Oryza sativa Japonica Group: one gene and its partner. Each later gene encodes a partner of the first gene's protein in a complex. Links are inferred from orthologs where the notes say so. Each region holds a gene or a part of one and is shown on either strand. Other genes may lie near its edges.

What was found. The genes of interacting proteins can lie anywhere in the genome.
Region 2: vacuolar sorting protein 39 (region 1) and vacuolar protein sorting-associated protein 41 homolog share a complex: the UniProt entries of both Arabidopsis thaliana proteins name them as parts of the homotypic fusion and vacuole protein sorting (HOPS) complex. The link is inferred for Oryza sativa Japonica Group from reciprocal best matches to the Arabidopsis thaliana genes EMB2754 and VPS41.

Annotation. Positions count from the first base shown.
Region 1 is NC_089037.1:29,848,640-29,855,432, reverse strand, and holds the start of vacuolar sorting protein 39, read left to right. Parts: upstream 1-2,040; 5' UTR 2,041-2,194; coding exon 2,195-2,606; intron 2,607-3,686; coding exon 3,687-3,898; intron 3,899-4,129; coding exon 4,130-4,261; intron 4,262-4,332; coding exon 4,333-4,476; intron 4,477-5,295; coding exon 5,296-5,408; intron 5,409-5,899; coding exon 5,900-6,320; intron 6,321-6,793. UniProt on the Arabidopsis thaliana protein: Essential protein required during embryogenesis. Believed to act in part as a component of the putative HOPS endosomal tethering complex. HOPS is required for the central vacuole formation.
Region 2 is NC_089038.1:6,606,160-6,611,374, reverse strand, and holds part of vacuolar protein sorting-associated protein 41 homolog, read right to left. Parts: intron 5,160-5,215; coding exon 4,980-5,159; intron 4,493-4,979; coding exon 4,232-4,492; intron 3,758-4,231; coding exon 3,625-3,757; intron 3,525-3,624; coding exon 3,434-3,524; intron 3,008-3,433; coding exon 2,905-3,007; intron 2,372-2,904; coding exon 2,268-2,371; intron 2,120-2,267; coding exon 2,026-2,119; intron 1,944-2,025; coding exon 1,788-1,943; intron 1,705-1,787; coding exon 1,642-1,704; intron 1,541-1,641; coding exon 1,475-1,540; intron 1,259-1,474; coding exon 1,058-1,258; intron 930-1,057; coding exon 852-929; intron 764-851; coding exon 644-763; intron 547-643; coding exon 466-546; intron 381-465; coding exon 295-380; intron 9-294; coding exon 1-8. UniProt on the Arabidopsis thaliana protein: Required for vacuolar assembly and vacuolar traffic.

The sequences.
Region 1 (6,793 bases):
ATCTCCCGATTGTATTGGCTCACACGAACTTGGACAGTTGGACTACGGGTCCACGAGGCCATGGGAGGCTGGAGGCGTCAGCGAGCTACTTGTGCAGCTGTGCTTGTGGAGTTGTGGTCGTGGACCGAGAGAGAGAGAGAGAGAGGGAGAGAGAGAGCGCGCGAGCGAGGAAGAAATGAGAAAGTAACCAGGTCGTGACAGTTCGCTGCAGCAAGTGCACTCAGCCGGTCTGGAGACCAAGTAAGACTCGGGTCGTGCCGGTTCGAACGAAGGCACGACAGCCTATCGTGCTTTTTTTTTAAAAAAAAGGTCTATTTTTCCTATCTAAACTCTCTGGACTGTGTCCATATAGCTGCAAAAGAAGTCTATTTGTATTCCTCTTGTCTTTGAGCATTTGTCTTATATGGTTAACTAAGTCTAATTTACGTCTCTCTACTATTTTTTTCCGATCATGCTGTACCGGGCCGGCACGAGCACAACCCCAGTCGGGCTGTGCCCTGCTTGGGCTGGGCCAAATTGGCGTGCCTTGGGGCGGGCTGCGGGCCTTGTGCCATATGGCCATCTATACCTCTAGCCCGAGACGACATGGAACTCTAGAAAGTCGGCAGCAGTAACCATCTTTAGGGCTTAGGCCGATGACTTCTCATCAAGTTCAGATCTCTAGAGGCCACGACAACTATGTTGAGTGTCAACATCAGCAGCGACCACCTCGTCCCTAACAAACTACGGTGGCTGAAGCTGGCAGCGGGACTTCTTCTAGCTGGGATCCAAAGCCTAGTTGCGACTACCTCGGCAATGGCGGCGCATCTAGCTGGCGGTCATAGTGCGCCTCCGTGTCGTTCGGCCCAAACACCCGACGCAGAATATTCGCCTCCACATCGATCACCCGCGGAGCCAAACGAAGCACATGAAGTCAAAATTGGGCACACGGACTTCGTCTCCATTGAGGGAGTGCGGCGTGGGGAGAAAGGCGGGGCGCCGCGTTGTGGAGGTCATCATCTCATCACTCCGTGGCTTCGTGTATTCCCCTCCCACGCTCTCCTTCTCTCGCACCAACAACTAGTGCCCTAGCGCAAAGGCAACAGAAGGGAGAGAGAAGCGATGACAAGAAGGCGGCGGAAGGGAGAACGAGAGTGGCGGGCAGAAGTGGAGCCTACCAGCGACCTATGAGCATCATCGTTGGGATCCATCGCATCACCACCAAAGCAACTCCACCGTGCCGCCTCCTGATCCGCATCAGCCGGAGCTCGCCGGCCACGGCGTCTCCCAATCCGTGTCAGCCACATCGCCCCTTAATCCACGCCGCCAGGAGCTCGCTGGGCGCACCACCCCTGGGTCCGTGCCGGCCGGAGCTCGACGGCCACGCCGCCCCCCTAAGCGAGACGGGAGAGGTAGTGGTGGCCACTTGCATCAGCCGGCCATGAGTGGAGGGGTAAGGTGGCATCGATGTCGACGTCACTGAAGAGAGGAGGGGAGGGGGAGAGGGGCACCGGCGGTGGGTGGTAAGGAGAACGACGGAGGGGGAGGGGCTCCAATAGCGGGGTATTCGAAGGAGGAGACCGGAACGAGGAGAGTATAATGGAGAGAGGGAGAGGGAAAGGGGTTATATCCCTATTTTTTTTTCTAGACTAGCAAAAATGCATGTGCATTGCAACATGTGAAGATAATTTTTACGATTGATAAAAACTATATTATTTTAAAGTACAAACAAAACAACAGCAAAACAAAGTCAGAAAGCATATATAACATGTGTGCTTCATGCGCCATCACACGATGAATCAAACTCCTATTTACCGACAAGATTATTAGCACGGATTATATCTATTTCATTAACAAAATAAATTAATATTTTAATAAATAAGTTTTACAAATTTAGAACGAACAGGTGATCTAAGTAACGTATCAGAAGAGGTTTTTCTTTAAGAAAATAATTGTTTTTATTGAAGGTCGAGCAATGCCAATAATAATCCAATATGTGTTTGTATCCCGTATACCTATACAGCTATACTATACCCCCCATTCCGTATACCATCATGGCCTAGCCGAGCCAGAGTCCTCGACGCAACGATCTCGCTCTTCCCCCTTTTCGTTCTCGCCTCGCCGCACGCGACGATCGCCGCCGCGGCCGACTCGCCTCGCCGCCGCCGGGGCGGGAGACCGCCGCCCGATCGGGGGGGGGGGGCCCGCGGCAGCCATGGTGCACAGCGCGTACGACGCCGTCGAGCTGGTCTCCGGCGTGCCGGGCGACATCGTGGCCGTGGCCGCCTACGCCGGGAGGCTCCTCGTCGCGGGGAAGGACGGCTCCCTCCGCATCTACGCCTCCCCGGGCCACGCCGGCGGCGGGATCCCGCGGGACGGGCCGTACGCGCTGGAGCGGCAGCAGCCCTCGCTGTGGCGCCGCGGGACGCCCCTGGCGATGGAGGTCAGCGCCGGCCGCGAGCTCCTGCTCTCGCTCGCCGAGTGCGTCAACCTCCACCGCCTCCCCGGGCTCGAGACCGTCGCCGTCATCGGGAAGACCAAGGGCGCCAACCTCTTCGCCTGGGACGACCGCCGGGGCCTCCTCGCGGTCGGCCGCTGGAAGCGCCTGACCATCTTCCGCCTTGACAGTGAGAATTCGGCCGCATTGCCTATTCGTTTTCGTTGTGATTTGAGTGTTTGTGGCTATGATTTGACTGTTACATCATTTGGGTTTCGGTGGAAATGGAGATGGCCTGTTGGTACTGCTCAATTTGGAGAATGGGAAGTCTGGATTGAATTGGGGCCGTGTAGTCTGAATTGATGTTCTTAGCTGGGACTTGGGATCTGTTGGAGAAAGGGAAAAACACTCGAGTTAATTCCAGGCTTTAGTTAATCTATTTAAGTTGGCTAAATGTTTTAGTGGAAAAATACAGTTACTGTTCTAATGATGCGATATATTCTATGAACACCATGGGGGATTAATAAGTGAATTTCTTGTAGTTGGAAGCTATTTGTGTAGGATATTAAACTTTTGAATCATTAATTGGTATATTCACTCTTTGATTATTCTTTTTCTGGCAATAATTACTGATCCTTTTTGTTTTTCCACATGTTGGGCACAATGAAATATTTCAGTTAAAACATGTTCATACATTCCAGAATTATTCTGGTTCTAATGGTGTTAGATGAAGATGATATATAGACATTTTTGCTAAGGCACACGATTTCATTATTCCACTTAAAGAAAATGTGTTATTCTGCTAACTCTACATTGATACAGCATACCAAGGAAATCATGTGTTCATGAATTTTCTTGTCATTTGCTTGATCGTAGATTTTGTTTTTGGCACAAATTGCATGCACATGTAGGCATCATTAGAATTCAGAAGAAGTTTCTGAAGTAATAGAATTTTGTGTGCTGGAACCGGTAACAGGGTTTTCTTTTTGTAATTTATCTGTATCTTGAATTTGGGAAAAAGCTTACGAAACATTAGCCTTTTGTTTGCTGAAACTGGTAAAGGAAAAACGACCTGTAAAATTTTTTTAGTACTGTTGTAAGTGCAAGGTATATCAGAATAAATGTATTTAGCAGCATTTGGCATAACTTAAGACTAGAGTTTGTGTTGTGCCTTTAAAATTTTGATTATGGTAATCTTGAAAGAAATCAAATGGCTGAATGATCTTGTTCTGAATACGCGTTGCATGGTGACTTAATTTCTGTTTATCAGGTGGGAGGGAGTTTGTTGAGGTGAAGGAATTTGGAGTTCCGGATACCGTGAAATCAATGGCCTGGTGTGGCGACAACATTTGTCTTGGGATTAGAAAGGAGTATATGATCATAAATAGTATGACTGGTGCATTAACTGAAGTGTTTTCTTCTGGAAGGAATGCTCCACCTTTAGTTGTGGCTCTTCCTACTGGGGAGCTCCTCCTGGGAAAGGTATAACGTTAATTTTTTTTGTGATATTATATATGTTTTGTTGTCAATTTGCCATTTGATGAAATTGCTTGGTTAGATGAAATCATTTTGTGATATTTGTTTGGTTCAAAGATGAAAGTATTCTGCTTTAGAGGAATGATGGGGCAGTTGGTCTGAATGTAGTAACTTGTTTTCACTTGTAAGTTTCTTTAATCTTAGCTCAATCATGTACTATTTACTTTGTTTACTCAGGATAATATTGGAGTATTTGTTGACCAAAATGGGAAACTTATTCAAGATGGCAGGATAATTTGGTCAGACACGCCTGCCTCTGTTGCTATACATAGGCCATATGCGGTGGCACGCCTGCCACGGCATGTTGAGGTGAGTTTATTCATCTTGTATACTAAAGCTATAGTTACATCGTTCCACCTGACTACTTGGTTTTGTTTCAGATACGGTCCCTTAGAGCCCCCAATGCATTGGTTCAGACGGTTGTACTTCGTGATGTTCAAAAGCTTGTTGAAACTGAGAACTGTATACTTGCTGTGCTAGCCCGCTCTGTTTATGGCTTGTTGCCTGTTCCTATTGGTGCCCAGGTATGCTGTGCTGTGTCTGGTACTTTGGTTTATTAATTTCGATGAGCACATTTCTGTAGACATTATATGATATCTTTTGTTCCGTGTTCCTAAAATGTTACTGTTCACAGCCTTGCTCACCCACATCACCTCCAAATTGTGGCTGCCCGTCCTGACACAGTGCCACACATGCACCATCTAGCCATCCTTCCACTGCCTACGGGCTTCTAGTAGTTTATCTTGATATCACAAATCACAGCACTAAGCTGTTTCATGCTAACTTTTGGTATAGTTTCCCAAAATAACCATTGTTGGTGCCCTTTATAAGATCTTGTACTGTTATGGGCATGGGCTAGGCCCATGCAACAGTTTAGGCATGATAATTTAGGAATAAGTCACATAAATATAGGAGATTACCTAGTTAGGAAAGGGATGAGGTTTATTAGAAAGTTAGAGATAGAGATTGGATTGGTTTATATAATAGTAGAGACTAGTTCCTTATGTGTCTAGTCTATCCTCCCTATATATAAAGGGACACCATGTACTCTATTATCAATCAATCAATGAATCTCTAAAGTTAGCCCTAAGCCTCGGAGCCTCTTTTAGCTCAGCAGGGAGAAGCCCCGCCACTGCTATTAGAGGGTGAGTGCCCTATCCCCCGGTCTTCGGGCCCTTACCCTAGCCAATCCATAGCATGTACCAATTGTTATAAGGCTTCTTCTATGGATTTTATTTCTTTCATGTACATGCTAAATAATCAGCCTTGATCATTTTACAAGTTGTTTCTCAGGATTGATTCTTAGCTCTTACATTTGCATCGTTACATATGTTGGTCTACAGATAGTGCAGTTGACTGCATCTGGTGAATTTGAGGAGGCTCTGGCGTTGTGTAAGCTACTTCCTCCAGAGGATTCAAACCTACGAGCTGCAAAGGAAAGCTCAATACACATAAGGTATGTTTCAAGTTGTCCAATCTAAAGGTCACACCAGCACTCTATTTGCAGTCTGTATAGATTTCCTACTTCTATACGTTTATCATCCTGTAGCACAAATGGGTAGATTCTGCTCCTCTTTACTTAAGCTGTTTGAATCACTTTGCTCTCTGATTATGTTTTGCATCCATGATCTGCTGAGAAACAAATTCAATAAAAGAATATGAATAGCTTATGGGTTTTCCATACTTTTACTATCCTTTTTTTTGTTAGAAAATAAGCAGATTGAACAGTACAGATGATGTTTGCAAAATGAAAATATGGAGTGTAAGCAAAGCAACAATATTACCAGTTTTGAATCCATGCAGTTTCTAGTCTATAATTGAAGTAGGCGAACAGAGCCATCTACTACATTTCTAGTCAGTGAATCTTGTGTTTTCTTATATATTTTTTTTATTTGGTTCCTCACATATAACTAAATTGTGTGTTTCAAATTTGATTTCATGAATTAGATATGGACACTTTTTATTTGATAATGGGAGCTATGAGGAGGCAATGGAGCAGTTCTCTGATTCACATGTGGATATTACTTATGTCCTATCTCTATATCCATCTCTTGTTCTGCCTCAAACGCACATCATAGGTGAACATGACCGGCTGCAAGATCTGCCAGAATTAGCAAGAGAATCATCTGATGTGACAGATGATATGGAACCATACTCTCTACAACTTCATGAATCTGATGATAAATCTCCATTGGAGATAAAGAAAATGAGCCACAATGCTCTAATTGCCCTTGTGAAGTATTTGCACAAGAAAAGAAATGGAATAATTGAGAGAGCAACAGCTGAAGTCACCGAGGAGGTGGTCTCTGGAGCTGTGCACCACAGCTCAATCTTATCTGAGTCATATCGATCAAAGAAGCCAAATAAGGTACTACTGCTTCAAATGCCTAGGTTTCCTTGTTAAAACTCTTGTAAATAGTAGTGACAGGTGTGGAATTTCCTGTACCAAGAACTAATACAAAATAATTACCAATAAGTAATAAAAGTACACTACACAAATAAATGAACCCCTGGTTTTATCCAAACTATCAGTAAGTCAAAGTACAACTTGAATATCCCATATTATATTAGTTCTAGTTTTCGAGAATGATTCAGGTCTTGCTATAATTCTGAATCCTTATTGACTTCAACGCTATTTACATAATGATCATGGTGCATGTGGGATTTTAGACTATTTGCCATCCTATTGAATGGCGTATTCTCAAATGTCATCTTCTTCAATAACCTCGATTATTTACCATCTGGTTCCACCGATTTGTTTCTATTTTGCCACTTTCGTTTGCCAACTCAGCAACCTGAGTAACAGATGACCTTGCTACCCCTCATCTCTTCTCTTCAACT
Region 2 (5,215 bases), on another chromosome or scaffold:
CCCGCAACCTATCAAAAGCGTAATATTTCAATGAACACTTGAACCAGGGAAGAGAAGGATTGGATTAAATAAAGTTGTAGCATCTCTATTCTACAGTGTCAATATAGCCCTATAATTATTATAATAAACTGAGTGATGGTCATAGCTAATAATTTGTATATAAGTAATTGGTGGATTCTGAATTTCTGATCATCTGATGATAGAAATTCGTTTCGTAAGGTGTATATGTGATGTTTTTTTTTTTGGGGGTAGGTTCTCATTATCTTTGAACGAAACAAATTTTGGCACATTTACCTTGGTATTTCTAGCCCATCAGGAACCAAACTAACAATGTACAAAGGATCAAGATTGCCAACAGTATGTTCCAACAGCATTCCAACCTGCTCAACGGTTACAAAAATGCAATGAATAAACAGAAGGAACATCAGTGTCAAGAGTATTGAACAGAATACACAGCTCAATTACCATCTCAGGTTTTTGGAGGCACTGTCTTATCAATTCCTCCCATAACTCATCATCGTGTTGCTCCATCACAAATTCAACGGCCTGCATCCAAGGTTACTGTTATTGCAATCCAACCACAGTCTAGAATTGCTAGTCTAGCCCCAAATTTTTAACAAAATGATCATAACCACATTAGGACCTCCTGAATATCTTCCAATTTGTTTATAATTGTAGAGAGAGCTTCCTTTGCATTTCCCATACGACCAAGCACAAAAACTTGCTCCCGTACAAGCTCTTTTTGTGCAAAGATTTCATATGCCTGAAATAACCACATGTCATTCATTACTCATCCTTCTCAAGATAATGAATGCTTTTTTTTTCTCTTTTGAGAATTATGAGTTTATGACCTTGTCAAGCCTGTAATGCTGACTGGTACGGAGGAAGGGTATTAGCATCCTTGGCTCATACTCTGCATAAAGCTCCACCTACAACACAAAGTGTAATGTGGTTAGCTGTTATACTAATACAAAAACTAGAGCTACAGAAATAGGGCAAATGGGCAGGAGGTGAACAGTATGATAAAGACTGCTTGTTCACAGAAGAATCAGCATACCTGCATGTCATGATAGTCTTTTCCAGCATTCATGTCTGTCTCAAACAGAGCATGTAAATACAGATGCAACAAATGTCTTTTGTCACAACTTTTACTAGCATGCAACAACTGTCCTACAACTTCATTCGGGGGGATCGTATCACGATGCTGGATCAATAGGTTTACAGTTCTTTTACTATCCAATATCATAAGATTGACAACCTGCGAAATACGCAAGGCCCATAAGTGAATATATGGAGGTTATTGAAGCCTGTCTCTGTCTAAAATATATTATCATGTTCAACTACATTGTAACCATATGTAAGTACCATTATTAGACAATTGCTACCATGACACTTGACAATTCACAAATGCAAACTTGAAAAAAAAAGTCAAGTGAGATCAGTTTTATCCTACATTTGGGAATTTTAACCATACCTTGTCATGAATGGCATCATGCAAGTTGTGCTTCTCAATAAATTCGAATACTTCTGGCTTCAAGAGCTGAATGAAATGAGGTTGGGTCAACAATACAGGTAATAAAACAAAATTCTATTAATTTAATGCAATGTGAACCTTTTAACTACAAGTTAGGTAATACTTACTTCAGCATACAGAGAAAGGGCCTTGTCATATTGACTGTTGATGACATACAATTCAGCTAAAGCCTACATGGCAAACAGAACCAAGATGTCAAAGAGCTCAAAAATACTGTGTAAGTCTTACATCCATTAAGAAAATGTTTCCATACCTCTTTTAATGAATCAGTCATTGAAGAGGAATTTAGCTGTGGCTCAATTGCAGATATGACAGGTGAAGCGGAGTATAATGTAGGTGGCCATTTTTTTACAGTTGTCAAGAGAAGTTCATGAAAAGAAGGATTGGTAGTTAAAGCTACAAGAGCAACCTACATAAACCAATTAGAATTAGTATTAGAATCAGAGGTGTTGTAAAGAGCAAGCAAGCAAAATAGAAAGAAGTAATGGCACCTCGTAAGCTGTATCACTCAGCTGAGGATTCTCTGTAGGTATGTAAGGAACTAATACAGCAAGTTGGCGAAGATGGGCAAAGTGAAAGACCCACCTGTGGCACAAAAAAAGTTATGGTCAGTAGATATACTAGTGATCAACTAAAACAAACAATGCACATCAAAATCTCATAATGCTCCTGTGTTTGTTCCAGATCGTATGATGAAGGATACAATGTATATCAACACTTCTTTTTTTCTCACCTCTCCCATGCTGAAGGAGATCCTCGCAACAATTTTGGACAGAGGCGTGCAGCTTCAGCATATTTTCTTTCAATTATCAAATGATCAAGGTATCTCGAACCCACCTGACATAAGATGGCATGAACAAAATTTCAATAATGTTCCTAGCTATTATGTGGTTAGATTTCTTAATAGCTGAGGTCGTCCTTCCTAAAAAAATGGGCTCATAAGATACTGACTGGGTTATGTTGTTGAAGTGCTGTCAACTTCTAAAATATGCATCAGACCAGCATAATATATATAAGATAGGAAGCAAACTTCTAAAATATGCATAGAATTTCAGAATGTATTTGTTGTTCACATTGTTAGGACCACCTTAACTCATGACAACAATAGTCTAAAGACGAGCCAGCTTAAATATAAACACCTATTGGTACATGATACAGGTCCCATTGTTTTCAGCTAAAATGCTCAATATTGTGAACGTGATAATCGCCAACAAAACTATAGAAGGGGATGGGGACCTCAGTTGCCATAATGGACCTTAAAGGTGTCTACTTGAAGGTTCCTAAACAATAAGGGTAGCATCCTCATCATCAAGCAGATAATGCATACCATTATTCATTTACTGTTCAAACTCAAACTGTTTCTACTTTACCTCATCAAGAAGCTCGGTTCGTCCTTGTCCTGCTTCAACTGCAGCCAATGCCTTTTCATGCCAACCATGTTGAAGAAGCCAAGAAATATGGTCTTCAGCATCTCTAATTTGAAAGCACATATTATATCAGTAGAAATATAAAGATACAACATTTTCTGAAATGAAATTTTGCCATGTCCTTATAGAAAGCTCAGAAACACAAATAGGCTGGAAATTATCAGAAGAAACTAGCTTAGTATTGTTCTACGTATGCTACTTGTAGTTAGAAGAAAATTAAATGCCACAGAATCAGATATGCAACTGAAGTGATCTACTGCAAGTAGCCAAGCTTACATGTGTATCACAATTAAATAATGCAGAAAATTGAAGGACTAATGGAGTTCTTCAAGATTACAATCAGAGAAAATATGACGAAGGAAGATCACATTTTCAAAAAGAGAAGTTTTGCTCAATCAATTATTGCCTTCTTTCATTTGCAATTGCAGAACTTAGAAGCTAATATAATCCTTTGTTTTGCAACATTACAAACCTTGGCTTTGCGACCACTATATCTTTAGGAGATACAATGTAATATAAAGGTTCATCACCAGCAGCCCACTGTCCACCTGCATTGCTGCTTCCTGGGTGGTAAAAATATAACAATAAAATTCCTTCATTAGAAAAGTTTCAGTGAAGAAGAAAAGAGAAGTTCATTCACTGTTAAAGCACATTTCATTAAACCTGAGAAAGGAGCATGAGCAAGAGCATAATCCTTTGCCTTATAATGCTCATAACCATGAATAGGAAGAGCATCTGTGGTAAGTTCATCATTTTTCCATGATACAAGATGTATTTCTGGACGCTGGGCAGTTCCCTACAAAGTGTTTAAACATAACGAAAAAGGTAAATGTGGGAACAGCATCACTTCATAAGAAAAGGAATCTGGTGCACAATATGTCATAGGCGTTGGGCAGAGAGGCCGAGGCCCACGAGGCCAAGTCCTAGCGGATAAACAGTACCACGAGTACTGTAGCAGTTGGTTAGGAGATAGGATAGGATTAGATAGAGTTAGTTTGAGTTAGTTTCTTAAGGGTCAAGTCATATCATCTCTATATAAGGGATGGATTGTATTCATCTCAAGTTAAGCAATGAATATCAGTTAGTCTAATCTCTCTCTCCCAATAATGTTCTTCTCCCTAGCCTAAATCTACATCCCTTCTCCAGGAGATGACGCCGCCCGGCTATCTTCCCGGCGGTGTTTATCCTGTCATGACCTCGGGTCATGACACAATAAAGGAGAAAAATAGATTTACAGAGTGCAGTGCAAAGGACAAGCCATCATGATTACCTGACGTGAAGGAACAGAATTGCTAAAACTGTTTTCTCTGTCTTCCTCCTCTGGAATATATGCAAGCACAACTAAAAGATCACCAAATGGAGCAATCCCGGATATGTGATAGCCTGTTTGGAACGAACCCACAATATCCACGTACTTCTCATTACTTGCAGTGATACTCCTCTGTATGCCATTGAGTCCTTGAGATGAATCTGTTCGAATTGCTGCAATCTTGACACTTGTTCCCCATCCAATAACTAAGATGGTATCATCCTGAATATGCAAACCAGTCAGTATGCCATGTACAATTTCATTGAAAATGAGAACCCAAAAGAATCAGATATATTAACAGCAAAGTGACTATAAACTTACTTCTCAGCAAATAAAACACATATAATGCTCCCAGGAATGACTAACAATGAAAACATGTCTATCGTATACCTTTTCCTTTAGGTTTAAAACCATTAGTTCCTTATATCTGACTAAACTAGATTGGAAGAAAAAAAATCAATCCTAAAGCTTTCAATGTACAAGAAACTTTTTCCTGCTGCACCATATATTCTTTTGGTATATGTTTGCCAGAATGAAATGATGTTTCTTTTCTGTAATATCCTTTGTATTCTACTAACTATTTGCTGAAAGGAAAAAAAAAATGATCCCTAACTGTGCATATTTTTAATGTCGACCAAATTGAAATGTTCCAAATGAGCCATACTTGGTATAAAAAAGTATAGTGTTCGCATAAATAAATGTGTATTACCTGCCAGACCAACTGAGGAAGTAAAAACTCTGGCCGAGGAATTCCTTTTGGCCTCTCTATAAACGCGATTCCTTTGTCTGTCTTCATATCATGCACTTTTACCCCTGCATCGTTAGCCCAGGCAAGGAGGTCTGTCCTCCATTTCATAGAATGGATTGGTCCTTCGCCATCACGCAGAACCTGTATGTAAGGAGACTCACACAACCATTTGAAATCACCAGATCAATTTGATTTTC